Linked DNA regions of Callithrix jacchus. The protein of the gene in region 4 binds, or shares a complex with, the protein of the main gene of each other region. Links are inferred from orthologs where the notes say so. Each region holds a gene or a part of one and is shown on either strand. Other genes may lie near its edges.

The links.
Region 1: GTF2F2 (region 4) and GTF2H5 share a complex: the UniProt entries of both Homo sapiens proteins name them as parts of the TBP-based Pol II pre-initiation complex. The link is inferred for Callithrix jacchus from reciprocal best matches to the Homo sapiens genes GTF2F2 and GTF2H5.
Region 2: GTF2F2 (region 4) and POLR2B share a complex: the UniProt entries of both Homo sapiens proteins name them as parts of the TBP-based Pol II pre-initiation complex. The link is inferred for Callithrix jacchus from reciprocal best matches to the Homo sapiens genes GTF2F2 and POLR2B.
Region 3: GTF2F2 (region 4) and GTF2A1 share a complex: the UniProt entries of both Homo sapiens proteins name them as parts of the TBP-based Pol II pre-initiation complex. The link is inferred for Callithrix jacchus from reciprocal best matches to the Homo sapiens genes GTF2F2 and GTF2A1.

Annotation. Positions count from the first base shown.
Region 1 is NC_133505.1:164,988,175-164,996,187, forward strand, and holds the start of GTF2H5 (general transcription factor IIH subunit 5), read left to right. Parts: upstream 1-3,292; 5' UTR 3,293-3,909; intron 3,910-4,937; 5' UTR 4,938-4,975; coding exon 4,976-5,010; intron 5,011-8,013. Other genes in the region: protein SERAC1, read right to left, coding at 3,054-3,292. UniProt on the Homo sapiens protein: Component of the general transcription and DNA repair factor IIH (TFIIH) core complex, which is involved in general and transcription-coupled nucleotide excision repair (NER) of damaged DNA and, when complexed to CAK, in RNA transcription by RNA polymerase II.
Region 2 is NC_133504.1:139,812,250-139,820,160, reverse strand, and holds the start of POLR2B (DNA-directed RNA polymerase II subunit RPB2), read left to right. Parts: upstream 1-1,264; 5' UTR 1,265-1,363; coding exon 1,364-1,382; intron 1,383-6,929; coding exon 6,930-7,002; intron 7,003-7,911. UniProt on the Homo sapiens protein: Catalytic core component of RNA polymerase II (Pol II), a DNA-dependent RNA polymerase which synthesizes mRNA precursors and many functional non-coding RNAs using the four ribonucleoside triphosphates as substrates.
Region 3 is NC_133509.1:116,179,798-116,187,792, reverse strand, and holds the start of GTF2A1 (transcription initiation factor IIA subunit 1), read left to right. Parts: upstream 1-2,722; 5' UTR 2,723-3,163; coding exon 3,164-3,193; intron 3,194-4,125; exon of another isoform or gene 4,126-4,199; intron 4,200-4,969; exon of another isoform or gene 4,970-5,153; intron 5,154-7,384; coding exon 7,385-7,486; intron 7,487-7,995. UniProt on the Homo sapiens protein: TFIIA is a component of the transcription machinery of RNA polymerase II and plays an important role in transcriptional activation. TFIIA in a complex with TBP mediates transcriptional activity.
Region 4 is NC_133506.1:164,480,386-164,487,732, reverse strand, and holds the end of GTF2F2 (general transcription factor IIF subunit 2), read right to left. Parts: intron 2,183-7,347; coding exon 2,063-2,182; 3' UTR 1,659-2,062; downstream 1-1,658. UniProt on the Homo sapiens protein: TFIIF is a general transcription initiation factor that binds to RNA polymerase II and helps to recruit it to the initiation complex in collaboration with TFIIB.

The DNA.
Region 1 (8,013 bases), on a different chromosome or scaffold from region 4:
TTTTTTTTTTTTGAGATGGCGTCTCTGTCGCCCAAGCTACAGTGCAGTGGCGCAATTTCGGCTCACTGCAACCTCCGCCTACTGGGTTCAAGCGATTCTCCTCCCTCAGCCTCCCGAGTAGTTGGGATTACAGGTACGTGCCACCACGTCCAGCTAATTTTTTTGTATTTTTAGTAGAGACGGGGTTTCACCATGTTAGCCAGGATGGTCTCAATCTCCTGACCTCATGATCCACCCGCCTCGGCCTCCCACAGTGCTGGGATTACAGGCGTGAGCCACCACAACCGGCCCACATCACAGTTTTTAATATCTATATGCCAGATCTAAGAGTATCTCTAGCTACAGTCTTTCCTGACCCATCTATCCAACAGCTGTTGGAACATTTCCACTTGGATGTCCAGTAGACTTTTCATACTTAACCATCCAAAAGAGAATTATTTTTCTCCCCAAATTCTTCCTCCACAAATCTTCTCGATCACCATCCACCAAATGGTCAATGCTTTTTTATTGTAAATGGTAAATAATCTTCCTCTTAAACAAAAAAACAGATGTTGCCCTTGATTCCTTGTTTTCCCCTTGCACTACATCCAAATCATGCATAATTTCTCTTCTCTTACATCAAAACGTACCCCAAAATCCATCCATTTTTCTCTGTATTCACTGCTACACTATTGTCTAGCTCAAACCACCATCATCTTTCATTTGGAGTAATAAAATGTCACCTCAATGGTCCTTTCTGTAACTTAAGATTACTCAGAAAGATTTTAAACAAAAGTTTGGGAGATAGTAGTGCTGGTTGCACAATGTGAATGTCACCAAACTCAACATCTCAAAATGGTTAACATGATGAATCTTATGTGTAACAAGATTTAACAGGCAAACAAAAAAGAAATCTTTCACAGAGACAATGGTCTCTTCTATTTCTTTTCAAATATCTTGCAGCTATGCCATTCATATTTAGATCTTTAATCTACCTGGAAACTACTGTTGTCAATAGTTTGAAAGCAAGAATCTAATCCTATCTGCTGTATTCCATAATGATGCCACATATCTCACATATCTTACCATCCTTTATTGAATAGTCTATGCTTTCCCCTTGCTTTGCAACACCACTCAGTGGTATACTAAGCTGCCATATGTAAATAGGTATGTCTCTAGTTTCTCTGTTCTGTTCCATGAACCTACTTCTCTATCCCTGAATCAATACCACACCATCTTGATAATTACAACTTCATATTAAGCTTTGGTATCTAATATGGACAGACCTTATTTTTCTTCTTTTTCAAAATTGACTTCCCAATTCTTGGTCCTTTGCCTTTCCATATAAATTTTAAGTTCAGCATGTCAAGTTCCATAAAACCATACAGTGATTTTAATTGGCATCACACTAAATTCACAGAAATTGGTAAAACTGGTATCTTCTTGTTGGGTCTTTCCATCCATGAATATGGTATATGTAACCATTTACCTGGGTCATCTTGTGTTCCAACAGAAACTTATACTTTTCTGTCTAAAGGACCACACAGTTTAGACCGATCTATTTCTAGATACCTTTAGTTGTGAATGCCATTATGAATAGTGTCTTTTTATTATTAAAACTCCTAGTTGTTACTGGTATATAGGTTTTTAAATGCAAAGTTCTTCCTGAAGGCTATTTCTGACATACCCCTGGCCAAAATAACCCTTCTAGTTACTCTTTATCACATCATCAAATGGTACCTTCTCCTTAACTGATTTCAGTGTCTCTCTGACCCCACCAAAATTAGTTTCTGATTCATCATTGTACCCCAAGTGCCTAGAATAGCTGGTACACATCAGGTGCATAAAAATGGAACTGATTAAGAGGTCAAGGAAGAGAATGTATTGCAAGATAAAAAAAAAAAAGCAAATAAAAGATTATTGGGAAGAAGAAGACTTGGAGACAATTTTGTTATTGTAAAGAGAGTGCAACAATACAGAAATCACCAGCTGGAAAATATTTGAGGGACAGAAAGAGGGAACTAAATGGAAGAGCTGGGTTCCCAAGAGATCACATGAATAAACACAATGTTAAAAAATAAAAATAAAAAACCAGCATGAGGCTGGGCACAGTGGCTCACGCCTGTAATCCCAGCACTTTGGGAGGCCAAGGCAGGCGGATCACCTGATGTCAGGAGTTCCAGACCAGCCTGGCCAATATGGCGAAACTCTGTCTCTACTGAAAATATAAAAATAAGCTGGGCGTGGTAGCACACGCCTGCAATCCCAGCTACTACGGAGACTGAGGCAGGAGAACTGCTTGAACAGGGGACCAAGGATGCAGTGAGCCCAGATCGCACCAATGCATTCCAGCCTGACCGACAGACCAAGACTATATCCAAAAAGAAAAGAAAAAAAAAAAAAGCAGCATGAGCTTAATCGCACCAATGCATTCCAGCCTGATCGACAGACCGAGACTATCTCCAAAAAGAAAAGATTAAAAAAAAAAAGCAGCATGAGCTTAATTGGGGAAATAGAATTTAATCTAAGGAACAGAAAACAAGAACCTCATATCTTAACTAGTAAAAATAATGAGGAGTGTTCCTTTAGACTGCAGAACAGATTTGGGGTAAGAGAATAACTTTAGAACCTTCTGGGGTCTTTCACTTTAAAATGACTGTTGCCGAGTTTTAGAGATGTCTCGGCATTCAATCTGTTCAATCTATGGGGTTAGAGAGGGAGCAGGAAGCAGCAGTCGGGAAGGCTCAGATGTGACCGGTGAGGCGGTTTCCTACTTGTCCTCATTATCTCTCCGTGACTACCGAGCCCGGGAAGACCAACTGGCAGGTGCACTCCCCGAGGCTTCGACAGCAGCCAGAGAAAGGCAGCGACCGGGAAAGACGAGTCAGGCTCGCGACTACCAGAAAGAGGCCCTCGCGCTCCGCAGAGCGTCCGCGGATCGGTCGGGTCCGCGCGCCTCACAGTGGTGCCCGGCCGTGCCAGGCCCCCGCCCTCCCCTCTCTCCACTGCCTACCGCGCCCAGCTACGCCGACGCCCCCGTCCGCCCCCACACCAGCCGGGCCTCCACGTCCTACCTGCCGGCACGCGGACTCGGCCAGTTTCCAACCACTCGCCGCACCCCGTAGGCTGGGGAGCCCTCTCTGCGGTGGCGGGCCCGGGCCCTCCACCAGGCGGCGGGCGGTTCACGACCCCGCCCCCTCGGCCCGCTGCGGGCCTGCCTCCCGCCGGCTCGCTCCACCCTCAACAGCGTCCCTAGCGCGATGACGTATAGACGCAGGCGCACTCTGTCGGCGACGCCGAGGCGCTTTTGCATCTGTGGGCCGAGGTGTGTGTGGCGAGCGTTGGAGCGGGTGGGGATAGTAGGGTGCGGGAAGACTGAGGGGTTCCAAAGAGAGAGGGGAAGAAGAGAAAAGTCCCAGAAGCCTGTCCACCGGGTGCTGGGGGCACAGGGCGGTGTTCTGCACTCTCTCCGGGCCCTTCCTGGCGGAGCTGCACGCCGGTCCCGCAATCATTTTTAATCGTGGGTTTCCTGTGGGGCGGCTCGCTTTGCACCCAGGTGTAAGTGGAAGGTTAAGTGGGCGGACGCTGAGTGGTTGCCTTCCAGCCTAGGTCCGCGGGGGATGTGGTTTATTTAATGAAGGAGCACGAGATCTGGCTTGTCCTTTTTTTTTTTTTAACTTTCCCGGGACCTAGGACTTAATTTGTTCCTTTGGTCTCCTCATCTGTAAAATGAGGTGGTTGGGTCCGGGTGCGGTGGCTCACACCTGCGGTCCCAACACTTTGGGAAGCCGAGGCGGGCGAATCACTGGAGACCAGGAGTTCGAGGCCAGCCTGGCCAACATGGTGAAACCCCCAGCTCCAATAAAAATACAATAAATTGGGCGGGTGCGGTGGCTCACGCCTGTAATCCCAGCGCTTTGTGAGGCCGAGGTAGGTGGATCATTTGAGATAAGGAGTTCGTGACCAGCCTGAAATCGCTTGAACCCTGGAGGCAGTGATTGCAGTGAGCCGAGATCACTCCACTCTGGGCGACAGAGCTAGACTCAGTCTCAAATTTAAAAAAAAAAAAAAATATATATATATATATATATATCTTTTTATATGCGTATATATATATATATGTACACACACACAAAATACAATACAGTAAATTTTTTTTTTTTTTTTTTTTTTTTTTTGAGACAGAGTCTCCCTCTGTGGCCAGGCGCCAGGCTGGAGTGCGGTGGCGCGATTTCCGCTCGCTGCAGCCTCCGCCTCCCTGGTTCCAGCAATTCTCTTGCCTCAGCAACTGGGACTACAGACGCGCACCACCACGCCCAGCTAATTTTTTATATTTTAGTAGAGACGGGGTTTCACTGTGTTGGCCTGGACAATACAGTAAATGAACCAGGCTTGGTGGCTCATTCCTGTAGTCCCAGCTACTCGGGAGGCTGAGGCAGGAGAATTGCTTGAACCTGGGAGGCGAAGGCTGCAGTGAGCGGAGATCGGGCCACTGCATTCCGGCCTGGGCGGCAGAGCCAGACCTTGTCTCAATAAAATGAGGTGGTTGGGCTCACTGTAATTTCTGAAGCACCTTTCAGAAGTGTCTTCTTTGATTCCTGTTTTTCAGGATCTTACCCTTTGTCATTATCCTGAATGGGAAAAGAAATCCTTTGATTACTGGATGGTTTACACCTGGATTGGGTACACTGGTGTAGTTAGGCCGCTTGCTTCTATTAGAGCTAATTGACCGTGGGTAGAATAGTTAGCAAGTAAGATGTGGCATTAATATTCCAAGCAGACTCGTTTTAATTTTGTTACAAAATCAGTATGTCTCTTTTCTTTAATGTTAACTGTCTTTCATAGACTTAACTGTTAAATATTGACGTTTAATATGTTGCCTCATTTCAGAGGCACATCCCCAAAATATATGAAAGTTAATGATTTTTAATTTAATGTCACCTTTTTCTTTTTATTAGCATTCTTGAGGTCATCTGAACCTTCTGACTGAGAAAAGATGGTCAACGTCTTGAAAGGAGTGCTTATAGAATGGTTAGTAGTTTTGATGCTTTATGAGTTTGAAGTTTAAATATTGAATCTTGACTTACATGTATATCTTTTCCAGAACCCTACTGTTTTTAAGATATGCATGAAATCAAGTCTTTTGCTTTCCCAACTTCAGTTTTCTTGTATAACAACTGGGACAGATTTCAGTCTCTTCTGTTGAATTGATGGAACTGGCATGATCAGAGGCAGCATATTTGTTAGATAAATCTTTAGAGAAACAGTGCTTGCATTCTCCTCAAACATGACTAGAATTCTAGGGCCTGAAAGAGTTTAGGAACTTGCTTACGTCTTTACCATTACAGACTGTGGACTTTATAAAAGAGAAAAACAAAAGAGCCAGATGGGGAGGGTTTCTTAAATTCCTTTAGATACAGTACAAAGGAGAAACTAAAAACCATAATGGGTAGGGGTAAGTTCCTCAAAGCAATCTAATGTATAGGAACCCTGGGAATCCTGCTCTATGGACACTCCCATTGTCTGAAAATACTGCTGTCTACCTTTCTGTGCCTCTAATATGAGCCAGTGCGTGGATAATGTTACTGTTTCCGTGATGGGCGTGGATAATGTTACTGTTTCCATGATGGCAAGGCTGAGGAGGAGCAAGACGAACTCGAGGACACCACCAACATTTAGAACAGCACTAACCAATAGAAATCTGATGCGAGCCACAGATAATAGGCTTACATTTTTTCTAGCCGCATCAAGAGGAAAGTCAAATGAAACAGGTGAAGTTAATTTCTTTTGTTTGACCCTGTAAATGCAAAACACTGTGCTTTCAACATGTACTAAGTCTTCAAAAGAAATCTTCATCTTCAAAGTCAAATGCATATTTTAATTTTATAGCACATCTCACAGACTAGCCATGTTTCAAGGAGTCTATAGTGACCTGACTAATGGGCCACCTTTTGTACTGTGCCAATTTGGAGTTTGGGTAGAGGAGACACCAACAAAGGCAACTAAGAAGAAAATAGCCAGTGCGATTGGAGGGAGGAAAGCCAAAGGAGGAAGTGTTTCACAGGGATGAGTGGGCTGTATTGGGCACTGATTGAGAACTGGCCCGAGATGAAGATTGCAGTTTTGATGAGAGCTGTTTTAATGGAGTGGTGGGGCAGATGCCAGATGGAGCACTGTGAAAAAGGAAAGGGAGGTGAGGAAGTGGGAATGGAGCCTTTGGAAAAGATTTGCTGTAATAATGAGCAAACGGATAGCTGAGGAAGGACATGGTGAGGGCTCAGGTTCTTGTTAATTTTATTTTAATGTGAAAGACTTGAATGTACGTTGATGAGAATAAACCCCTAGGGGAAAAGCAAAGGGGATGGGATCTGGAGCCCCGCAGTTCAAAACACACTTTTCTGTTGTCTTTTGAAGACTCTAGGTTTGATGTACTTATTTTCCTATTCATTTGTCATAACATAAACATTTTCCTGGTTGGCCTTTTAGTGTTATTTTTAAATACAGAGGATACACATGCACAGAATGTCAGCTATCAATTTTTTTTCCTTTTGTTTCTTCCAATTCTAAGTTTAATCTTCACCCCTGGGTTTGTTAAACATTGACTTCTCTTGTGGGGGTTTTGTGTTTTTCTTGGTGTTTTAAGGTTCATCCATCTAGAATTCATTGGAAGGAGAGGCATATTATGAGGTGAGGATCTAAATTAGCTGCTTTTCTGTTTTGAGCTTTTTTGTCTGCTCATTTTGCCAAATAGCTAAACAGTTCTCCACTGTTTATTTCCTTTCCCAATGATGCTTGATGCCGCCTTAGTCACATAATTTTACTCCCCTTTCTATTCTCTCCCATCCCTTCCCACATTCATTTTTGTTTGTTGTTGTTTTTGCCTATTCTAGAATAACCTTGAAATAATTTAGTCTGTTTCCAAAATAATCCTTTTGGCATGATGATTGAAATTGCATTAAACCTACGTTTTAATTTGGAAAAAAAAAAAAGGTGGCTAGATTGCATCTTAAAGAACAAAACTCTGGGACAGGTGCGGTGGTTCACGCCTGTAATCTCAACACTTTGGGAGGCCGAAGCGGATGAATCATGAGGTCAAGAGATGAAGACCATCCTGGCCAACATGGTGAAACCTCGTCTCTACAAAAAATACAAAAAAAAATTAGTCGGCATGATGGTGCATGCCTGTAATCCCAGCTACGCAGGAGGCTGAGGCAGGAGAATTGCTTGAAACCGGAAAACGGAAGTTGCAGGAAGCTGGTATCATGCCACTGCACTCTAGCCTGATGATAGAGCGAGACTCCATCTCAAAAAAAGAAAAGAACAAAACTCTGGGTCTCGAGACTTTGAAGTCTCAGTGCCTGGTTTGCTGTTCTGTATCTAGCCTCTGAATTCTGCCTGGTCTCTCTAATGTCTGTCCATCCCCTTGCACTTCAGGATAATCCCCAGACTAGCAGCAATAGCATCAGCTGGAGATTGTTAGAAATACTGAGTCTCAGACCTTACCCTAAATCTACTAAATCAGAATTGTGCATGCAAAGGACCTTGTTGGCGAGGCTCAGTGGCTCACACCTGTAATCCTAGCACTTGGGAGGCCAAGGCAGGTCAATCACCAGAGGTCAGAAGTTTCAGACCAGCCTGACCAACAAAGTGAAACCCTGTCTCTACTAAAAACACAAAAAATTAGCCGAGCGTGGTGGCAGGTGCCTGGTGCCTATAATCCTAGCTATTCAGGAGGCTGAGGCAGGAGAATCACTTGAACCCAGGAGGCAGAGATTTCAGTGAGCCAAGATCACACCATTACACTCCAGCCTGGGCAACAAGAGCAAAACTCTGTCAAAAAAAAAAAAAAGGACCTTGTTAAGATGCATTTACATTTTGAGAAGTACTGTTAATCAGCTTCAGTTTAATAGTTTCCCTATGGAGAAGTGCTTTGCACCAGGGCTGTTAAGTTTATTTTACAGGTAGGTACTGTCCTTGCAAAACTAATTTTTTCATTCAAAGTGATTTCTAAAGTGTAGTCTGCACAATTTTTCA
Region 2 (7,911 bases), on a different chromosome or scaffold from region 4:
GGAGCCACAAGCTCGCGCGCTCACTAGGCCCCGAGGCGCGCGAGACCCGAGACTAAAGCGCGTGGGTACTTGGGAGGTGTCTTGGTTCTTCTCCTGTCTAATCCCGTGTGTTCTCGCGATTAAAGCGCTGAGACTGAGAACCTAGTTAAAGCTGCCGCAAAGGCACCGGAGGGTTAAGCTAGGTGGGCGGAAGAGATCTGCGTGTGCTTTGGGTTTTTCACTTTCTTTTTTTTTTGAGACGGAGTTTCGCTGTTGTTACCCAGACTGGAGTGCAATGGCACGATCTCGGCTCACCGCAACGTCTGCCGTCTGGGTTCAAGCAATTCTATTGCCTCAGCCTCCCGAGTAGCTGGGACTACAGGTGCGCACCACCATGCCCAGCTAATTTTTGTATTTTTAGTAGAGACAGGGTTTCACCTTGTTGACCAGGATGGTCTCGATCTCTTGACCTCGTGATCCACCCGCCTCGGCCTCCCAAAGTGCAGGGATTATAGGCGTGAGCCACCGCGCCCGGCCGGTTTTTCACTTTCCACCATCTTTAACGCCTCACTGCTATCACAAGCAGCCCTTAATAAATCACATTTAAAAACGAGCTTCCGGCCGGGCGCGTGGCTCACGTCTGTCAGCACTTGGAGAGGCCGAGGCGGGTGGATCACCTCAGGTCAGCAGTTCGAGACCAGCCCGGCCAACATGGTGAAAGCCCCGTCTCTACTAAAAATACAAAAATTAGCTGGGCATGGTGGCGCGCGCCTGTAATCCCAGCTACCTGGGAGGCAGAGACAGGAGAATCGCTTGAACCTGGGAGGCAGAAGTTGCAGTGAGCGAAGATCACTCCACTGCACTCCAGTCTGGGCAACAGAACGAGACTCCGTTTCAAAAATTAAATAAATAAAAATAAAACATAGCTTCGTGTTGTTTTGGTCCTTAAAAAGGCAAATAAATTTAACATCCCAATGTCGCGGATTCACAGAACGAACACTTTTTATTAATAACTATACTTGGTTTTGTTTTCAGCTGTCGTTATTTGTGCAACAACATTAAAAAACAAGCAGAAATAAAACATTCACGGGACGGATCCGACCGCAGATTGCGAGAGCTGTCTTTTCAATCAGCCACCAACAGCGGCGGCACACAATTTGCGCGTAGGCAACTCTAATGCCCGCCCCAGCGCGCCCTACACTTTGCGCAGGCGCAGATCCTAACTTTGGCGTCCTTGTGGGCGGCCTTCGTGTGAGACGCATAGTATTCTGGGAACGCTGGAGACGGAAGTTAATTCGTCTATAGCTCCAGACGCTGGTGGCTTCTGTGCGCTCTTTTGTCTTTTCGGTTTCTAGAGTTAGGAACTCGGGAATCTTTTGGCAGTATGTACGACGCGGATGAGGGTAGGTGAACACTCAAAACACACGCCATGGCGGTCCATTTAAGCAGGGAAGCGTGGGGAAGTGGTCGGATGGAGGATTTGGGGCCTTCCCACGCGCCGGCCGCGTGGTCCCCAGCCTTGTTACCATACTTTCCACGCCGGGAACGAAACTAGGCTAGGGAGGGGCAGAGGGTGCAGGGAACATAGCATTAATGTTGCTGATTAGGTTCACTGCTGCTCTCTGCCCTTTCTCGTTCCGTTAGATCTAATCCCCGCCTCCTGTATTGTAGTAGCGTGCAGAACCGTAAGATAAATTCCGTTGTTTTGAATTTGTCTGAAGCAAAGGGCACCCTTTAAAAATTATCCTAAAAGCCACAGTCGATTTACTGAATAGCTCAATTGATGTCAGCATGTGCAAGGCAATGCGGAAGGCCCTGGAAATACACCGGGACAGACTATCGGAGGAGGGGGGTGGGGGGCGAAACGGTTTAGTCTCACATTTCTTCATGCTTTTTGTAAGTGAAATTGTCTTAAAGGATGGCCTTTAACCTTCTTCTCACAATGCCACAGTTCTCAGATGATATATATTCTGTTGCACCGGACCAGTGTATAGCTTTTTCTTTGCGCATATAGATTTCTTAGTAGTGGCTGAGTGCAATGGCTCACCCCAGCACTTTGGGAGGCCGAGGCGCGCCGATTGCTTGAGACCAGCCTGACCAACATGGGGGAAATCCCATATCTACTAAAAATAGAAAAATTAGCTGAGTGTGGTGGCCTGCGCCTGGATTCCCGTCTACTCAGGAGGCTGAGACCGGAGGATCACTTGAACCCAGGAGGCGGAGGTTGCAGTGACCCGAGATTGCACCACTGCACTCCAGCCTGAGTGACACCCATCTCAAAAAAAAAAAAAAATTCTTAGTCGAGTCTAGTGTATTTTCGTAGCTGCCTTTTCCATAGCTGCCTTTTCCATTCTCCGTATCTACTAATTCAAACCTTATTTTCTTCTAGCTCTTAATTCTGTGGCTACCCCTTACATCTCTATTTCCTCAGCTACTTCTGATAAATTAGATGGAAAAAATTGAAGCAAAAGCTTAAACTTTTTTTTTCTTTTGAGACTCAGTCTAGCTCTAGGCTGGAGTGCAGTGGCACGATCTTGGCTCTTTGCAACCTCCGCCTCCTGGGTTCAAGCGATTCTCCTGCCTCAGCCTCCCGAGTAGCTGGGATTACAGGTCCCCACCACCACACCCAGTTTATTTTTGTACTTTTAGTAGAAGAGAGGGGTTTCACTCTGTTGGCCAGGCTGGTCTCGAACTCCTGATCTTGTGATCTGCCCACCTCAGCCTCCCAAAGTGCTGGGATTACAAGTGTGCGCTACCTCGCCTCTTTTTTTTTTTTTTTTTTTTTAAAAGAGATGGGGTCTAGCCATGTTGCCCAGGCTGGTCTCAAATTCCTGAGATCAAGCCATCCGCCTGACTTGACCTCCCAAAATGCAGGGATTACAGGCATGAGCCACTGTCCCTGCCCAAAAGCTTAAACTTTTAAAGCTGTTTAAACTTCTTTCTCATTAATATCTTGTGTTCCAGAAATGTATTAGCATCATCATATTCCCTGTTAACTACTCTCTCAGTAGAAGAAAAATAGAAAAAAAGATTTTTTAAAGCATAATTTTTGGCTAGGTAATATATTCTCATAGCTCACAAACCAGAAAATTTAAAAATGTTAAAATACGGTGGCTACTTTAACAACTGAGACCAGCCTGGGCAACACGGGAGACCCCCCTCTCTGTAAAAAATTAGCTAGAGTGTGGTGGTGCTCACCTATAGTCCCAGCTACTTGGGTGGCTGAGGCAGGAGGATCACTTGAGCTTGGGAAGTTGACACTGCTGTAAGTTGAGGACAAAGTGAGACCGTCTCCAAAAAAAAAAAAAAAAAAGTTAAAAGTGTTAGGTCTCCTTCTTATCTACCATCTGCCCAGTTGACCACAGTAGGCAACTAGTGTTATAATAGGTTCTTATCACTCCACAGTTTCTTTTTGTTTTTTGACAGAGTATTGCTCTGTACCCAGGCTTGAGTGCAGTAGTGCAATCTTGGCTTACTAACCATTGCCTCCCTGGTTCAATCAGTTCTCCTGTCTCAGCCTCCCAGGTAGCTGGAATTACAGGCGTGCACCACCATGCCCAGCTAATTTTTGTACATTTAGTAGAGATGGGGTTTCTCCTTGTTGGCTAGGCTGATCTCAAACTCCTGACCTCAGTGATTCACCTGCCTCGGCCTCCCAAAGTGCTGGGATTACAGGTCTGAGGCGTTGGCGCACAGCCTCTACAGTTTCTTTATGCATATTTAAGCAAATATAAATGGGATTGTTTTCTTTTTTTAAGGACAGAAAGTAACGTTTACACTTTACTCCACTTTTAGATTTTGCTTAATGGAGATGTTCTTGTCAGTACACAGAGAGCATCACTTGCTGCCGCCCCTGCCTCCGCCCCCAGCTAAATAGTTTGTGTGGATGTAACTTTAGTGTCTTGATGGATATTTGATTTGATTTATTTCTAGTCTTTTTCCGTTAAAACAGTACTGAGAGTGAATAATCTTGTACATATAATTTGCCCAAATATGTCTTTAGGATACATTCCTACATATAAAATTGTCAGGTCAGATGATACGCACCTTTAAGATTTTGCTAAATGGTGGCAAGTGACCACCACAGTGGTGACTGTTCTAATTTTGTATTCTTATTGGTCATGTATAATGATCCTGTGGGAAAACAAGAGTTAATCAGAGTTGCTTTAGCAGTGAAGCTACATTTTATTTGTGCCCATGTCATCTAAAATGTTTATTAGGTATGTCCTCATCAGTTTTTAGCGACTCCTTTTCAGCTGGCTTCTTTCTATGTGAAAGTGTTGGATTTCTGTCATCCACATGGAAACAAGTTAAACTTTTTTTTTTTTTTTTTTTGAGACAGAGTTTTGCTCTTGTTGCCCAGGCTGGAGTGTAATGGCGTGATCTCGGCACGGTGTGATCTCAACTCACCGCAACCTCCACCTCCGGGGTTCAAGCCATTACTCCTGCTTCAGACTCCCGAGGAGCTGGGATTACAGGCATGTGCCATCACACCCAGCTAAATTAAAAAAATTTTTTTTAATAGAGATGGGATTTCTTCATGTTGGTCAGGCTGGTCTTGAACTCCTGACCTCAGGGGATCCACCCACCTTGGCCTCCCAAAGTGCTGGGATTACAGGCGTGAGCCACTGCGTCCTGCCTCAGAAAAAATTTGATGAATGGATGAGTAAATGAGTCTCCTTTATGGGTTCGTTTTCTTTTTCATATGACCCTTAAACAAAAGTGTTCCCAAGTACCCTGCCTTCAGTCTTCCTTCTCTGTGTAAAATCTCCTTTTTCTATTGCTCATTTATTAATGATTCCAACTCTGTACTTTTTTCAAAGTTTAAAACGTTTATTGATACATAATAGATCTACGTCTGTTATGTGTCAGTGTATATTGATTATGTGTCACATGTTCTTTGTTTATAATTTAGACTGTTCATTTGAGTTTATATTCATACACGTGTGTATTTGATCTACAGATATCTCTAAAGCCGACCTAATCATGACCTCTTTCTTCTACCATTTTACTTGCTCCTCTGTGGCAGTGATACTAGCTTTTAATCTCCCATCAAAGCTAGAAATATCTGAGCTATCATAGATAGTTTTGTCTTTCTTACCCTTTCCCCATGTGTAAGGATTGATAATTTCAGTCCATTCAAGAAGGATTTATTAAAAATTTATTTTGTATATGTATCAGATTTTGAACCCAAAGCTCTTAAGGTTTACAGGCTATATTTGTGTACATTAGAATAAACCCCAAAAATACAGCACACTTCTTCTTTCACATAAGAAGATTGGACTAATATTGGAGGAACAATGCACACTGATTCTTTTGAATGCGTAAATTACTATTGTACAACTACACTAAAATTTAGCTACTTAAAAAATTTCTTTGTTATGTTCATGGATACTGTAGGTCAAGATTTTGAACAGGGCATAACAGGCATGACTTGCCTGTGTTCCACTGTGAATCTTGTTCATTTGGGAAGTCATTAAGGCTGAATGTTGACAGCTGGGTGACAGATCTATAGTATTGACACTCATGTCTGACATGAGACATATCCCAGTAGGACTCAAGGACTAAAATTGCTAATGGAGTACCTGTAAGTGGCCTCTCCTTACAGTCTGGGCTTCCTCAGAATGTAGCAGCTTCAGAATAGTGTTTGACTTAAAAATTAAAAAAAAAAATTTTTTTAAGATGGAGTCTTGCTCTGTTGCCTAGGCAGGAGTGGTGCCATCTCAGTTCACTGCAACCTCTGTCTCCTGGGTTCAAGCAATTCTCCTGCCTCAGCCTCCTGAGTAGCTGGGATTACAGGCATGTGCCCCCATGCCCAGCTAAGTTTTGTATTTTTTAGTAGAGACTGGGTTTTGCCATATTGGCTTGGCTGGTCTTGAACTCCTGACCTCCCACCAGTGATCCATCCACCTTTGGCCTCCCAAAGTGCTAGGATTATAGACCTGAGCCACTGTGCCTGGCCTGTGTCTGACTTTTTAATGACAGCTCAGGGCTCCAGAAGCAAGTGTTTTAACATACATTACAGAAACTGCATTGCCTTTTCTGATCTTGCTTTTGAAGTCATGCAGCATTGCAGCATTACTTCAGCTACATTCTTTTTTTTTTTGAGATGGAGTTTTGCTTTTGTTGCCCAGGCTGGAGTGCAATGGTGCAATCTTGGCTCACTGCAGCCTCTGCCGCCCTGGTTCAAGTGATTCTCCTTCTTTGGCCTCCCAAGTGGCTGGGATTATAGGCATGTGCCACCATGCCTGGCTGATTTTGTATTTTTAGTAGAGACAGGGTTTCACCATGTTGGTCAGGCTGGTCTCAAACTCCCAACCTCAGGTGATCCGCCCGCCTTGGCCTTCCAAAGTGTTGGGATTACAGGTGTGAGCCACCACGCCTGACCTTCAGCTGCATTCTCCTAGTTACAGGAGAGTCAAAGGCTACCCAGATTCAGAGAAAGGATGCATAGACCACTATATCTGATGATAGGAGTATTAAGATCACTTTATAGAAGACCATGTGGGATGGGAGATAGGCTTGTGGCATGTTTGGAAAATGCAATCTTTCATACCTGTACATGTATGAAATGTTGCTGTAATAGATCACCCCACCTTAGGGTGTTGCCCAGCTGTTGGAATCCTTCCATGGCTCTGCCCCCTTACCCTGTTCTCTGACTCTAGTCTCTGAAAATCTTATTGATCAATAAAATGGAAAACTTAAAATTCATACAACTTACATTGAACCTTTCTAGTAAGCCTCTTTGTGTATTGAAAGAATACCTGTGTGGCAGACATAAATTATTTTATTAATGTAATTGAAATTTAGAAAAGTGGGGTGAAAGGATTACTTATTCAGCAGAAAGAAAATATGTTTTTGCTACTTAAAGTCATATGTAAAGTCGTAGGAGCAAGATGTTAACTAAGTGGCATCTTGTTGCAAATGAGTATAATATTTTGTTTTTACAGATATGCAGTATGATGAGGATGATGATGAAATCACTCCGGATTTGTGGCAAGAAGCATGCTGGATTGTAATCAGGTAACTATGGACCAAACTGAATAAGCTTGAAAAGACACTGTAGATTTTCTGCTTATTCTTGATAAATAGATGTTCTGTATAAATATGCTATATGAGAGTATTTATTATTTTATTTATATATTTTTAAAGTATTTCAGACCTAAAAGTTGCACAAAGAAATCATTTAATCACTTCACGCAGATTCTGAAAATATTATCTCGTACTACGTTTTCTTTGTCTTTTTTCCTTTTTGTACATACTTTTTTCTGAAACATGGTGAGAGTAACTTACAGATCACTTGAGCGTGGGAGGTTGAGGCTACAGTGAGCTGAGATCTCACCACTGCACTCCAGCCTGTGTGGCAAAGTGAGACCCTGTTTCTTTTTTCTTTTTTTTTTTGTTTTTGAGATGAAGTCTCACTCTGTCACCAGGCTGGATGTAGTAGCACGATTTTGGCTCACTGCAACTTCTCTCTTCTGGGTTCAAGTGATTCTTCTACCTCAGGCTCCCAAGTAGCTGGGACTACAGGTGCACGCCACCACACTCAGCTAATTTTTGTATTTTTGGTAGAAAGGGAGTTTCACCATGTTGGCCAGGATGGTCTCAATCTCTTGACCTTGTGATCTACTATGTACCTCAGCCTCCCAAAGTGCTGGGATTACAGACATGAGCCACCATGTCCAGCTGACCCTGAAACAAAACAAAAACACTTGCAGACATAAGGACATTTTTTTTACATAATCACGATTATGGTGATCTTATTTAATCTATGGACCTTACCTACATTTTGCCAGTTGTCTCACTGATATTTAGAGCAAAATAAAAATTTATCTTATTTTATTTTTGAGACAGAATTTCACTCTTGTTGCCCAGGCTAGAGTGCAATGGCGCAGTCTTGGCTCACTTCAACCTCCACCTCCTGTATTCAAG
Region 3 (7,995 bases), on a different chromosome or scaffold from region 4:
TCAATTTTGTATCATTCCAAAATGCCCACTACTACTGAGCATATGAGGACATAAATGTGCCTCGAAACTGTTTTTTTTTTCTCTTTCTTCACTGTTTAAGAAAATGAAGTTTGATAGGAAGTCATGAGATTTTAGTTTAAGCCAATTTTCACAATCTTTTTAGACTTTTCTTCTTGGCGTTGTTGCTAGAAATAGTCATTTGGACTGTAAAACATTTAAATGTTTGGACATATAAGGTTTGGTGTCATTTTGTTGATGGTACAGCAAAACTTATACATTGATTTTTTTTCCTTTTCTTCTCTTGTTTTACAGTTATCTAGTGTTTAGGCTGCATATTAAAAGAAAGATGCAACATTTTATCTCCCAACATAAATCATTTTGAAGTTAAAAAACACACAACACAAACATTCATCACAAAGAGGGTACTATTATGCATCTCCCTAAATACATGGCTGTTACAAAGTATGAGATCACAAATAGCAAATCCTATATAGTAGAAATTGCTGTTAAAGTTAGAAACATCATTTAAGCTGTAGGAGACCAAGAGTAAAAAGTTCAGATAGAAACAATTTAAATATGATGCTAAATGTAGTCTTACTTGGGAGAAGTTTTCTCTCACAAATTTTCAGTTTTGTGAATTAAAGGCCTGCAGCTTCCAAGTATTCAGTCCGACAATTTTGGTGCAAGATCAGAAAACATTTCTCTCTGAAACTAAACTGGATGGCACACATAGGTTACAACGAAGGCATGTAATACCTATTGAGGGCTTGGAAAACCAACATATTGGAGTGGAATCCATGATGGCTGGATGCCAGACACACCATCTAATGCAAGTGCTTGGGTAAATATTAACCAAGTGCTTAGGTCTTTTTGTAATCTAGGTGTAAAGAAAGAACCTAACTCAGAGCCTCCAGGGAGTGTGATGGACTTAAGGAGGCCAGGATTGGGTTTTGTGCCACTTTAATCCAATAACTACATTCCACTATTTCACCGATTAATTCTGTGAAGAGCAAATCTCATAGCTTCTCTTCCATGTCCAGGGCAGTGGTTTCAACCTTAATTGATGGCAAAACTACTCAACCATTTATCAAGAATACGAAGTGGTAGGGGAGAAAACTAAGTGGAAGGTGAGGGATTCCATGTACAAAGCGTTTGGGAGTATGTATATAGGGAGGTAACAAGAAGTCCTCTCAATATGCAGTAAAATTTACCAGGAATGGTATTGTTTAGTGTAACTTTACAATTGGGCTATCACCTGAATATTAAATAAATCACAAATGTTGATTGAATCACAATTTTACATTGCTAAGAACACTGATTTCCTGTGATTTTTTTTCTTTAAGTGTTCCAGACCATGCAGCTGTGCAGGTAACTGGAAGTAATTGTTAAGAGGGGAATGGATTTGGTGTGAAAATAAATCTCAAGGTTCATAGATATTCTCCACACCCATTGATAATCTCCCATTTTCTGCGTATTAAAGGCCCCTGCTTTCTCTAATCCCTTTCTTCAGGTGTTGGCAGGCTGCATTTTTTTTTTTTTTTTCTCTTTGGTAAGATGCCTTTGACATTCTTCAAATCTGGTTTCACCAGCAAAGAACTTTTCGTTTTGCTCTGTCTTTGGAAGACAAACTCCTTCACTCATCCAGATGACATTTCAGGTCCCTCAAAATTCCAGGGGCTCCGTTCTGCTTGTAATGTTGATATAAAGGCAGGATTTGTTTGGACAGAGGAGGTCAAAAGCTTATTGGATTGCACTTCAAGACACGGGCACAGCCGCCGTGCTCTCTTATAACTAGAGGCCAAGCGATTTGGGTCAAGGGCATGTGTTTCAATGTGATCAGTCACTACACGTTGGCCATGCGGAGTAGTGGGATTTTGGCAGTATTTTTTAAAACCAGGGAAAGTTATTGTGCTGTTATAATCCAAAGGCTGGTGGGGTTGTCTCCCCTACTCCCCGCACCGCATTTCCACCACCGTGACAAATTATTTAAAGTACGTGGGCTAGTAGGGAACTAATCTCTGGGTAACCTAAGTAAGCCTGGTCTTCGTAGCGGACCCAGTGTGGAAACAAACCAAGTCAGAGGTTAGTAACTCTGGAATGTGAAAGTGGGCCCCAATCGGCTTTTACTCCCATTGGGAAATTCTACATAATTCTGCCCGCGAAAGACCCACCCTCGGCGAGGAGCGAACGCTCCGAGGCTCACAGTCAAAGCCTCGCTGACAAATCAAGAGATGACTCCGCATTTAAAACCGTCCCGAATCGGAACCCGCCAGAGGCCGGAAGCCGCACCACGTGACCAGTTCTCCGCGGCCATTCCTAGCGAGGCAGTCGCTACCGCTTGTCTCATTTCCTAGCTCCTCCAGCGCGGGACCGGGCGGAAACGTGCGACAGGAGGCGGTCCCACCTAGCTTTGGACTGGAATGTCACTAGAACTCGCGCCTTTTCCAGAAACGCTTTGCAAGTACTTCACCGCAAAGAACTGCGGCAGACTTCCGCCTGGGTGCCAACCACGTGATCACGCGAGAGTTGGAGAGGCGTAGGTCCGACTTCACTACTTCACTACCCAAGCTCCGCCAGTCGAGCACCCCCACCGCGCGTGACGACGCGGCTCGCGGCGGCCTCCGCCCCGACGCGCCTGCGCACGCGGCTCTCGCGGTGTCTCGCGCTCAGCCCCGCCCACCTCTGCCCCCGCCCTTTCCACCCCTCCCTCCCCCATCACCCTGTCTCTCAGCGGCGGCGGCGGCGGCGGCGGTTCGCGCAGCTTGTTGGCTCGCTATATAAAGGAGAGAAGCGAGCGGACCGGACGGCTGGAGCTGCAGCCGGTGGCAGCAGCGGCGGCGCAGGGAGCGGTGACCGGTGGTGGTTTCCCTCCTTGGCGCGGGGTGGGGAGCGGGCAACGCCCCCGGACCCCTTAAGGGTCGTGGATTTTTTTTTAAAAAGACGATTCTCGAGGTTTTTAGCTGCGGGAGGAGTGCCCCCCTCCTCCTCCTCCTCCTCCTCTCCGCTCTCCCCTACTCCTTCAGGATTGATTTTGTTTAAGTTTTTTTCCCCAATCTTGCGGTGACTTGGGTCACCCTCGGGTGTTTTAGTATTTTTTTTTTTTGGTTTTGTTTTTATCTTGTTTTCTTGGGGTTGCCCCCTCTTGTTTGTGTTGTGTGTGGAAATGGCGAACTCGGCAAATACAAACACCGTGGTAAGGACGTGGTTCGGTGGCCGGCGGGGGCTTCGTTCAGGCGGCAGCAACGGCCGGACCGGGCGGGGGCGGGGACGGCGGCGACTCCCGGCCTCGACTCTTCAGCCGCCCGCGCGGCCGCCGCCGCTGCCGCCGCCGCTTCCCGCCTCGGGCGGATCGGGCCGGGGCGGCGGGCGGCGGGCGCGGGGGGGCGCCGAGGGCTCGCGGCTCGGGGAGGGCGGGGGCGCCGGCGGGGCCTGGGGCCGCCGCGGGCCGGGTCGGGCCGCGGAGGCGGTTGGGCCCGGGCGGGCGCGCAGCCCCGGCCCCAGAACCCGGCCCCCGGGAGGGAGGGCGTGAGGGGAGCCGCCGCTTCCCCCCGAGGGGCCCGTCCGCGCTGGCTAGACGATGGCTCCCCGAGCGGCTTAAGAACAAAAACCGTGTCTGGGGAATCGGGCGAACCCCTGAGACCCACCGTGATCCACTTTAATGCAGTGGAGGATTAATGGCTACTTTTGGGGGTTACTTAGGTTTTTTCCTGGCAGTTGTGCTTTGGGAACCTTCACTGGGGCCATTTTATGTTTAAAAAAAGGACTAAGGTTGTTTGAAAAGCACTTATCTCAGTTCCTTCCGAATGGGTAAAATGGCGAAGGGGAAGCAACCCCCCCCCCATCGTATCTTCGACTAGCAAAAGCACCAAAACAAACAAAAAAAGCCTACAGTGGTCCAAGTGTCCCTGCTTTCGCCTTGAAATTTGCCTACTTCTTCCCGTTGGTCCCTTTTTGGTTATTTGCGATCACGTAGGTTTGCAAAAAGCAGTCACATAAATAACCTTTTCAGTCACCAACGCAATGTGATCACTAGTCCCCCCAACTCTTATTTTTATATGACAATAAAACACGTTTTTGCCCGGTCCCAAATGCCGCAGACTAGCCCGCGGCCGCCCGACACCGTACCGTTGGCGACTCGGGTCGATCCATCATGGCTGCGGCCGCTTACCCTGCTTTTCAGTCCCTGAGCTTTGTGGTCCTCCTCCCTTTGGCTGCCCTGTTTATATAGAGCCATTGCCGCTCTCTAATATAGACTCTGCCAGGATGGGTAGGTGCTTTTCAGGCCTACGTCACCGCCTCTCCATTTAAACACCAGATCCGGCTTTAAATAGTGAGAGCTGCTGAGAGCGGGGCTGGGAGGTGCGTGCTCCCGAGGCGAGAGCCAGGCGCGTGCGGAGCTCAGTTTATTTGTAGGTCCTTTTTTCACGCTGTAATTTCGCGCCTGTCGGGGGCTGCTTTCAGAGCCCCAAGTTTTTGTTTTGTTCCTAGCAGCAGCTAGGAATTACCTTCTTTTGTTTGTTAGGGGAAATATATCCGAATCGCTGTCCGTTTTTATTTACAATTTTCAAAATATGAAAACAAAGAATTTTTGATCAGATAGTCTAGTGATTTTCCTGTGTGCATTATTTTCAGGAATTAAAAAAACTGCTTTCTACAAAGTGTTAGCTGCAGAGGACTTGGTTTTTGTTGTATTTTGTTCAAATATTCAGGAAACAGGTTAGAAATACAGCTCCTAATATTTCATTATGTTTTTCTATAGTAAATCTAAAAGACACGAGGCCTTTCAGAGAAATAGATAAGTGCCTGAAGCTTCAGAATAGGACCATTTATGTGTAGGGGAATCGTGAGTAATTAGAGGGAAGAGACTTAGTGCAAACTGGATTTTAAAAAACTGTTAAGTAGAACTTTATCGCCTTGGATATTATTAACACAGTATCCAGTATAAAAATTATTTCAATTTATTTTTCAGCATTGCATCAGGGAATTAACATTTTTGAAGGAAACCTCCTAAGAAATCACTTAATAATGCCACTAGTGGCCCTCTGATAAACCAGTTTTCAAGTTTGAAATACCTGTCTTTTTAAAAATCAGGACAAACCTAAACTATTTCGTGAGAAACGGAAACTTTGACTCAATAGAGTGAAGAATTTTAGGTACTAGTTTATAAATTGCTTATTTCAAATAATGCCTATGTGCCCACATAGTTTTCAAAAATTCGTGTCTTGAGTGCTTTTCAAATTGTGAACAATTCTAAATTATTCATTGGGCATATACTTTGTGAAGCATACACGTTTCCCTTCTTTAAACTATAGTGCTTATGAAGCTGTTAAGTGATCAAGTTGTGAGTTCATTAAGGCACAAAAATAAAATCTTAAAGAATGATTCATTAAGTAGAGGAGTACCAGAAGAAAGCAAATTTATACCTATATATCTCTGGATCTCCAAGCAAAAGGTTTTTAGAGGTAACTGATTTGAGGAACACCACACCATCTAGTTTACTGAAAAGCATTATGTATTGTCAATTTGAGATTTATGCTCCCAATTTAAAATACATTGCCCTTCTAATGCCTTGAGGAGTCATTATTGATTAAAAAACAAAACACTATAGAGATACTTTTGTAATTCAGCAGTTAAATTAATTTAGTTAAGATGATGTCCATAGTCACATATACTTTCCTTATATGTAGAAACAGAATGAATGTTAAAGCAGGGACGATAGAAATGTTCATTTTGCAGATGAGTAATTTAAGCTTCAAGAGGCAGATTGGGCGAAATAAAGAGGTTAGTGAGTGAGTGGAACAGTAAAGCAAGAACCCAGATATTTGAATTGGTTTTCTTTTAATGAGAAGGAGTGAATAGTTTTTAATGGTTGAGGTAAATTGTACTGACAAATTTATTATTTGTATTTTGTTTGTTTTGTTTTCAGAGACAGGCTCTGGCCCTGTCACCCAGGCTGGAGTGCAATGGCACAGTCTTGGCTCACTGCACCCTTTCCCTCCTGGGCTCAAGCCATCCACCGCAACCTCCCAAATAGCTGGGACTATACAGGCACGAGCCACCACTCCTGGCTAATTTTTTTTGTAGATGCAGAGTTTTTCACCGTATTGTCCAAGCTGGTCTCAAACTCCTGAGCTCAAGCAGTCCTCCCAAAAAGCTGGATTGCTGGTGTTAGCCATTGCACCTTCCCTCATTATTTCTAGTTTTGACAAGGCAAGGACACATTTTCTTAGCAGTTCCACTGTGATAACAGTGTTGCTGATAGAGATGGTAGTGAAACATATTTCTGTTTGAAGTTTGCTTATGAGAACAAACCCTTGGTTTTATTTGGTAGCCATTAACTTTTACCTTAAGCAAGGTATGAAACACGAGTAATGACAGAGCATCTAAAAAACTTGTTAACCATAACTCTGTAATAATGGGGGATTTATAACCAGGGAACTCTGGTTTTGTCAAGGCAATTCTAGTTTTGTCTTCTGACATGACTTCCTTTTTTCTAACAGGTTAAAAATAGGACATGGGGAACAAAAAAAGAAGGATGTGGATTGGGCTGATTGTTTTATCTCTCACCTTGGAGTTTTTTAAAAAATATTTTATACTCTGAAAGTTCTTTCACATCTCTTCTCATTTTGCTCATTTTACCATTCAACCTTTAGAAGCCAGCTCCTTTACTTCCCCGCTCCGCCTTCAAGTAATACCAACAATGCAAATTGTAATAATCGTAATAATAAACATTTAGAGGATTCATGTTCATTATAATGTTCTTTTGCATTACCTGGGCAGTAGTAGAGGAGAAATCCTGGGAAGGAAATCAGTGTTCCTTGTTCCTTGGGACGTTCAGACTTCTTATTATGAGTGTATGAATAGTTTAATGATACAGCTTGAAAGGATAGATTGGGTCGGTCACTCAACAGAAGTTAGGTGATTTTTAAACCTGATTGTTCATTAGGTTGCAGATTATTACCAGGTAGATGACTGCCGTACATAGCATTCTCCAAAGTCTAAGATTTAGTTGTGAGATAGTGAGATACAGCAGAGTTCAAACCAAGCACGAAATAGTAGAAGCTAGACATAAGCAACCCGTACAGCTATTTTTGAACATTACATTAGGTGTTTTGACTACAACATAGGAAATTATAATTGGAAATTGTATGGACCTTGTAGTTTTAGTGTATGAATTGCATTAATCTTAAAATTTTTATTAAAGTATGCAGTTATCAAATCTAGTTTATGGCAAATGAGGTCTATTAGGGTGGTCATATCTTGAAAGTCATATATAGATAGTTGGCAAAGATGACATGTATTTGTTTTGAATTTGTGAAACTCTGTTATACATTATAACCTGTGAAAAACTGTCTTTTTCAAGTCTTTTATTTTTCCCTTGAAGCCTAAATTATACAGATCTGTGATTGAAGATGTCATTAATGATGTGAGAGACATCTTTCTGGATGATGGAGTCGATGAACAAGTACTGATGGAACTAAAAACTGTGAGTTTGTCTTTTTTTAAATATTCCTACCTTTTCCCCCCAACATTCTGTTTGGCTAGAAATGAATCTGTAATTTTTCTGTATGGTGAATGTTTAACTTTGTTGAAGGAGGCAGTATAGTTTAGTGACATGTACTGGTTTTAAATTGCAGCTCTACCATGCATTCTTCCTCTGACCTTAGGCAAGCTACTTTAATATTTCAGTTTCCTTATGTGTAAGATGGAAATTGGTAGTATTTATCTTATAGGTTTGTTTTGAGGGTTAAATGGAATAACCATATAAAATCTTAGCACAATGCCTGATAGTGGCATTAGTAGCTGTTATTATTGGACAGTTAGTATTCTACATTTTATGGTGTGATTACTTGACCTGCCTGTAAGAATTTTCTTGCTCTCTCTTTTCTTTTTTTTTTGACACAGGGTCTGGCTCTGTTGCCCAGGCTGGAGTGTAGTTGTGCCATCTGGGCTTACTGCAACCTCCCACTCCCAGGCTCGAATTATCCTCCCATC
Region 4 (7,347 bases):
ATTACTTACCCTACTGAAGAGACAAGGGTTAAGAGACCCAGGCTGATGCAATCAGGTGTCTGAAAGAAGCTAAATAAACCAGTTACAAAAAGCCAAGCTTCAAGTAAGATACAGCTCTGCCCTGGAGTCTCTTCTGGCACAGCCATCTCATTCAATCTGGCAGGCACTGTCACAAAAACAAAAGACCTCAGCAAAGGAGACACAAGTCTGTTTCAGGGCAGTACCACATATATGAAAAACAAGGTTTGGGGAAAGACACATGCTGCGAACAAACACGTGGCAGGTACCCAGAATTCTCAGTTGCATATAGATTCATCAGACCCTTATCCACGGGCTTCCTGACCCTGAGGTTCCAGTCATCAGGCACCAGAAGGTGACGGGCAGACCACATTTGGTTCCTATACATAAGACAGGTTGGGGTGGGATGGGAATGAGAACACCCTCCTTACTCAGAATTTTACTTTACAGCATGTACATAAGTGCTGTTAACAATCTCAGAATTCTAATGTTTTGCTGCTAAAAGCAAATCATATAAAAGTTGTTTTTCTTAATGGATAGGTATTTCCTTGCTTTGTTTTAATTATGTAACATTTTCTTCAATTTTTAGCACTTGCTACTTATTTTGATTGTTTTTCCCTCATTTTTTCCCCCTGCAAACACTATGGCAACTTGGGCACTTGCTACCTCTTGGTTGGAAGCATCCAGAAGCAGCTGACAAAAAAACAGCTTTTCCCTGTGCTTAGTTTACTAAAGCTTCTTTTTTTGTCTAGTGGTCTTGATGGTATGAGTTTGGATTGCCTAATACATAATGTGTTGTGCTAGAAAAAACTTCTAACATATACACGTATTGTTTTCATTTAAAAATTAATTAAAGAAAAAAGAAACAATTAAATGACCCAGGAATTGGAACCAGCCTTTTCTGTCTCAGCTATACCCCTGTGCCCCTCTTATCTGCTGATATCATTTGCCATGTGATGGTCAATACATGTCTGCTGGGTGAGTAGTGAAATTCTGGGGGCAAACCAGTTTTGAGAAGCTTATAATCTGACTGGGGTAGACATATCTTGAAACTATGGAAAGATATTTAATTTCTAATTTTCTTTTTTTTTTTTTGAAATGGACTCTCACTCTGTCACCCCGGCTGGAGTGCAATGGCGTAATCTTGGCTCACTGCAACCTCTGCCTCCCAGATTCAAGTGATCCTACTGCCTCAGCCTCCTGAGTAACTGGGATTACAGGAGCCCACCACTATACTTGGCTGGTTTTTGTATTTTTAGCAGGGATGGGGTTTCACCATGCTAGCCAGGCTGGTCTCAAACTCCTGACCTCAGGTGATCTGCCCTCCTCGGCCTCCCAAAGTGCTGGGATTACAGGCATGAGCCAGCCTAATTTCTAATTTTCTTAAAAGCAAATAAAAGAAACATCAACTGACCACGATTCTGCATATTTCTCATTTCAGTATCACTACGGTAAAACAGGCTAATCATGAAAACTGCCATTTCACTACAAGCTTACATGCTCTCCTTTTATTAACACTGAGTACGAACACGAAACACGACCACCTGTTTACAAGAAAAACACCGCGTCGTTCTTTGACAATTTTTAAGTAAGGAACTTTGGCTTTTTATTCCTTCTATGAGTTTCTACAGCTGACTGCCTTTTTCTTTTTTGCTATACAATCCTCCTTGGATCTGCATTACCTCAGCTCCTCAAAGATAACAGGAAGGTTAGAGAGCCCTCATTTAAAAAACATTTCCTAACTGTACATGTTTAAAAGCTAATACTTAAGAAAAACCCTCTTAATCCTCTAACCCCTATTCCCATTGTGAATAATCTGGTTTAATACAAGTGAAGTCTATAAATAAATTTGTTCTTTCTTCTCAAAACAAAACAAAATAAAAGAAACCAGTTAAGAAACTTTACAAGAATTACAGGTTTAAAAAATTTACTGAGAGAAATGAAAGTAGGGTCGTCGCTTCACCCCTGTTAACATACGGTGTTCAAGCGCCTTTTGCTCAGCATACTGCTAGTGGTCTCACTGGCATGCAGGCCGGGAGGCACCTCAGTCACTCTTTTCTTCTCCTTGATAGTGTCTGTACTCTGGCTTCAGCTCCCACGTGTTTTTGTGGATCCCTTTTACATTCTGAACTCCAATTTCTTTTAAGATTTCCTTCAGGTACACCTAAAGCAGAAACAAAAAAACCCTAATAAATGAGATTATAAAGGCAGCAAACAAAACTTAAAATAAGATGCTATGCCAAAGCACGTATGCAAGTCATAAAAACTATGCTCCCAGCTACTCGGGAGGCTGAGGCAGGAGAACTGCTTGAATCTGGGAGGCGGAGGTTGCAGTGAGCCGAGATCGCGCCACTGCACTGCAGCCTGGTGCCTGGAGACAGAGCGAGACTCTATCTCAAAAAAAAAAATGCTCCTAAAAGCTCAGCAAGATTGATCTATAAGTAAACTGCCTTTTGATTCCACATGTGTGATATGATCACTGCACTAACTATATAATCATTTGCATTAAAGGGGATAAAAGTCCTGAATGCCAATGACTTAAAAGCTAAAACAAACACAAAAAACATTAGCTGAAACACATGAAAATATTACTGGTCCTCACTCAGTGTGACACAGTACACCAAGTGTAATCTGCCGTTGAGCTCAGCAGCCTCAAGGACTCAGTTTACAGTCAGATTGAAACCAGCAGTTTCAGGGAGCAACAGCATACATAAAAAATGACTAACATTTCTGAGAATATTCTATCAAGCAGGCATACGACAGGTATTCAGAAACCTCAGTTCTAAGGTGAGTTCTCAAATTTGTTATTAGGCCACTTATTTTTTGTCATTTGTATTTACTGCTATTTGTACTTTAGCCAAGCTTGCCACACAGAGAAGGGAACAAGAAGTGATAATCAGGTTGGGCACGGTGGCTCATGCCTGTGATCCCAGCACTTTGGGAGGCCGAGGTGGGCGGATCACCTGAGGTCAGGAGTTTGAGACCAGCCTGGCCAACATGGTGAAACCCTGTCTCCACTACTAGGGAGGCTGAGGCAGGAGAATCGCTTGAATCCAGGATGCAGAGGGTGCAGTCAGCCAGACTGCACTCCAGCCTGGGCAACAAGAACCAAACTCTATTTCAACAACGACAACAAAGAAGGGATAGTAAGACATCTTCAAAAACTATCGGGGATGCAGCTTTGTGTTTTACTTCTACAAAGAAAAGAATCTGTATGATGGTGTTTTAGGTCCCTAAAAATTCAACAAACATTTACTAAATGATTAATGCAGTCATGGAAATAATGGCTATGTTAAGTGTAATATGAAACTCCACCTTTGCTTGCCAATGCTCAAGGCCAAAAAGCATTCCACAATAAGCTGCCCAATACAAAGTACAGATTTCCTTCTTAGAGAAGGAAGGAAAGTTAATTATTTTGTGTGCGTCTGCTTCAAAGAACCAGCTGCAGTATGGTGATGACTCATCCCATTGATGAAAGATAACTTTTCTTATTGATTGAAACGAGGCATTAATAAGAACAACGGCTGAGAAGCTCTTGCCTGGATATCTCAGGAGTTTTCTTCTCTTCTGCAGTGATGCTAGACGACCTGTATCAGAACCTTGTGGGAAGCCAGTTAAATAAGACACATGTTGGGTCTACCGAATCAAAGTCTTTGGGGCTAGGCCCAGGAACCTGCATTTTAACAAGTGCCTAGGTGACTCATGTGACTACATACTGCATCTGGTTTACGGTTCTTCCAGCTCTGAAACTCTAGGATCTTTGAGTCCTTAGTGTGTTTTCATTCTCAGGGCCTCATCACTGCTGGAGATGAGGTGTCACCAACATAATGTGACACCACTTTACAGTGACTGACATAACGCTCTAGAGTTCACAGTGTCCTTTTGGTCAGGGGTAGACTGTCACCTAGAAAGTACTGGAAGTCAGGGGTAGACTGTCACCTAGAAAGTACTGGAAGTCAGGGGTAGACTGTCACCTAGAAAGTACTGGAAGTCAGGGGTAGACTGTCACCTAGAAACACAAAAGCTGGCTAGTACTGGAACTACACAGAGGTTGAGGTTCATTCAGGATGGCTTAGCTCGCTGTTGGGCAGCCTTCCCATTCCATCAGCCGGCCCCAGCAGGTGGCAGCAATGGACCAAAGGAGCCCTGGGTTCCCCTGAGGCTTGCCTGCCTCCCACACCTGCGGTTGGCTTCACTAGCAGACCCGTGTGAATGAGTAAGCATAAAGGCTTGAAACATCCAGGTAATATAAAATGCAAGTCTGCCACCGGCAACAGCAGTTTTTCAAATTACATTTAAAAAACAGGACACTATTCATAAACGATTTTCTAATTGAGCAGGGTTTACAAATGGAAAATGATCGGTTGGAGACAAATGATTCTCTGTTTAGGTGCCAAGAAGGACATCTTTGTAAAATTCCAAAGAATGTTTTATTGTGAGACTGGCTAAGACGGTGCCGCACAACCAGCCACACACTGTGGATGCACAGGGTCAAAAGCGAAAAGCCACCTCCAGGAGCACTGTGGTAGCCCCACAGAGAAGACCTCTCCTGACTTCAAGTCTCGAGGGCCCATTTATAATCTAGGCCCAGAAAATGAAAAGCCTAAAAAGGGTTAAACACAGAATACTGAGAACGTATTAAGAGTACAAATTCAGTTGCTCTCATGTTCACGCTCATTCTGGTAAACTGGTAGAATATAAGGAATTATTTTTATACAAGAAGGTGTCATTCTTTTTTCCGTGTAACAGTAAAAATGGAATGAGATAATCCTGGTCTGTCAATTTTTCAAGCAACAAAATGCAATCACGGTCACAATCTACTGTGACTAGGGGGTAGGGGACACACAAACTTCCTGATTTGTAGGATGTTCTAAACTGCAATCTAAGACCTTTTTCTTTTTTTTGAGACAGCGTTTTGCTGTTATTGCCCAGGGGGGAGTGCAGTGGTGCGATCTCAGCTCATTGCAACCTCTGCCTCCTGGGTTCCAGGGATTCTCCTGCCTCAGCCTCCCCAGTACCTAGGATTACAGGCATGTGCCACCACACCTGGCTAATTTTTGTATTTTTAGTAGAGACGAGGTTTTACCATGTTGGCCAGGCTGGTCTCAAACTACCGACCTTAGGCAATCCACCCATCTAGCCTCCCAAAGTGCTGGGATTATCGGCCTGAGCCACCACACCCGGCCAAGACCATTTTACTGTAATCAAATAAATAAATTATCTTGGCAGGGAAGCAGGTACAAAGCATTAGCAGAGAAAGCAGTAGTGATGATAGGGAAAAACAAGAAAAAAAATCTCTAAAGGGAAGAAGACATGGACAGCAAACAGAGACAGCATGTCCTTCCTCTGTCTAAAATGTTTCAGTGACTTCCCCCTTTGGCCTGCACATTGAATTCCAAACGCCTTCGCAGGCATCCACTCAGGTCGGCCTTCTTCCCTGGGCCTCATCTTCCAGCACTCCCCCTTACACACACTTCCCATTTCCGTACCTGCTTCTGGGTTTTTCCATATGCTATTTCCCTTCCTTGTAATGTTTATCTCCTTTCCTCATGCTTTAAGACTAGGCTCAAACGTGACTTTCTCTAACAGCCTTACCTCGGATTCACATTTCACACTGCACATTCTTCCATGGTAGCTCTTACTATATTATAATCCGTTATTTACATGCCTTGCTCTTCATCTAACCCACATGCTCCTGTTGCAGTGCCTGTGTGCACGTCACAGAGACTCAGCGTACTCATGCGGAGTGAACAGGGTGTGCTTACGACTAACAAGGCAGCTAAGAGGATGCGGGGTGGTGGAGAATACCACTAAGAAGGTCCATAAAAACAGACCACTCAATTCCAGTTTATTTTTAAAACTCAAGCAGTGACCTAGTTTGAGAAACGAAAGTTTACTGACTTAACTGTTACAACCTGAATCTGAACGGCATTTACTATTAAAATCTGCATTTTAGTGCTAAAATGTTGCTGGTGACAAAGCCAATTGAAGCAGAGGTTTTAAAGGTTCTACCAGGATTGAAAATTATTTGGTAATCTTATTTCTCTTTTTGAAATTCCTGTATCTATATTCATTCAAATATTTACTCCAGCACCGACAATGTGCCGGGTAGAATGATAGACAGTCAGTCTTCTTCCCAGAGTCCATGGTTTAAGATTAGTGCATGGGATGGGGGCCAAGAATAAGGCATATTAGGCCGGACGCGGTGGCTCACACCTGTAATCCCAGCATTTTGGGAGGCGGAGGCGGGTGGATCACCTGAGGTCAGGAGTTTGAGACCAGCTGGCCAACACAGAGAAATCTTGTCTCTACTAAAAATACAAAAATTAGCCGGGCATGGTGGCATGCGCCTGTAGTCCCAGCTATTCAGGAGGCTGAGCCACGATAATCAATTGAACCCGCGAGGCGGAGGTTGCAGTGAGCTGAGATTGCACCACTGCATTCCAGCCTGGGCAACAGAAACAGCACAAAACTCCATCTCAAAAGAAAAAAAACGGAAAAAGAGAAAGGCATATTAGCAGGTAATTAGAAAATCGAGTTAGAGGCATGTGTACAGAGTATGATGAGACCACTGGGAAGGGACACCTAACACAGCCTGCATCAAGATGTTTGAACATTTGATTTGAACAGCAATTCTGAGTACAGATCTGGAGAAAGGAGTTCCCCTCCTATGACTTACTCCTTCCAATTAAATCTTTGCTCTAACCACCTGTATTTTAAACAAAGGATTCTGGAACTGAGTAGATCGTCTTTATGTCACATAGGATTGGGTATACGTCTCATTACGGACTATGTGCCGTGCTGCAGCCCAAGACAGAAATAAGCTGGCTCAGGTCGTCCAGCAATTCTTCATCCAAAGGATGTGGGAGAGGATTTACAGCTAGTCCGAATGCAGAGAAGTGACAGAACATCACAGCTTTCTTGGAAGGAAATGACCAAAGAGGTCAAGTCATTAGGATGTTTGTTTGCATTTGTGGGTCAAGTTAAAACTACAGTGGGCAAAAAGCCAGAAATCCATGGATCAACTTCCTAATTGGCCCCCAAGACGGAGACAAACTGTCATACGGCACGGTGGCCTACTATTTTAGTCTTTTGCTCCTTTCTTCCCTCCCGCCACCACCTACCATTTCTCATATCATCTTTTCCTCTCCTGCTCTGTCAAACAAACGGAGGACTCACTCTGGATTTCACCTCATCAGGCATTTCAGTGATAAGAATAATAATAAATCAATTCTGCCTAAATTCACAGATGTTCATTAAAAACATGCAGCTGATCGCCAACTACAATGCTTTAAGTTAACAAGATGACACCCAAGGCCTCTAGTTACA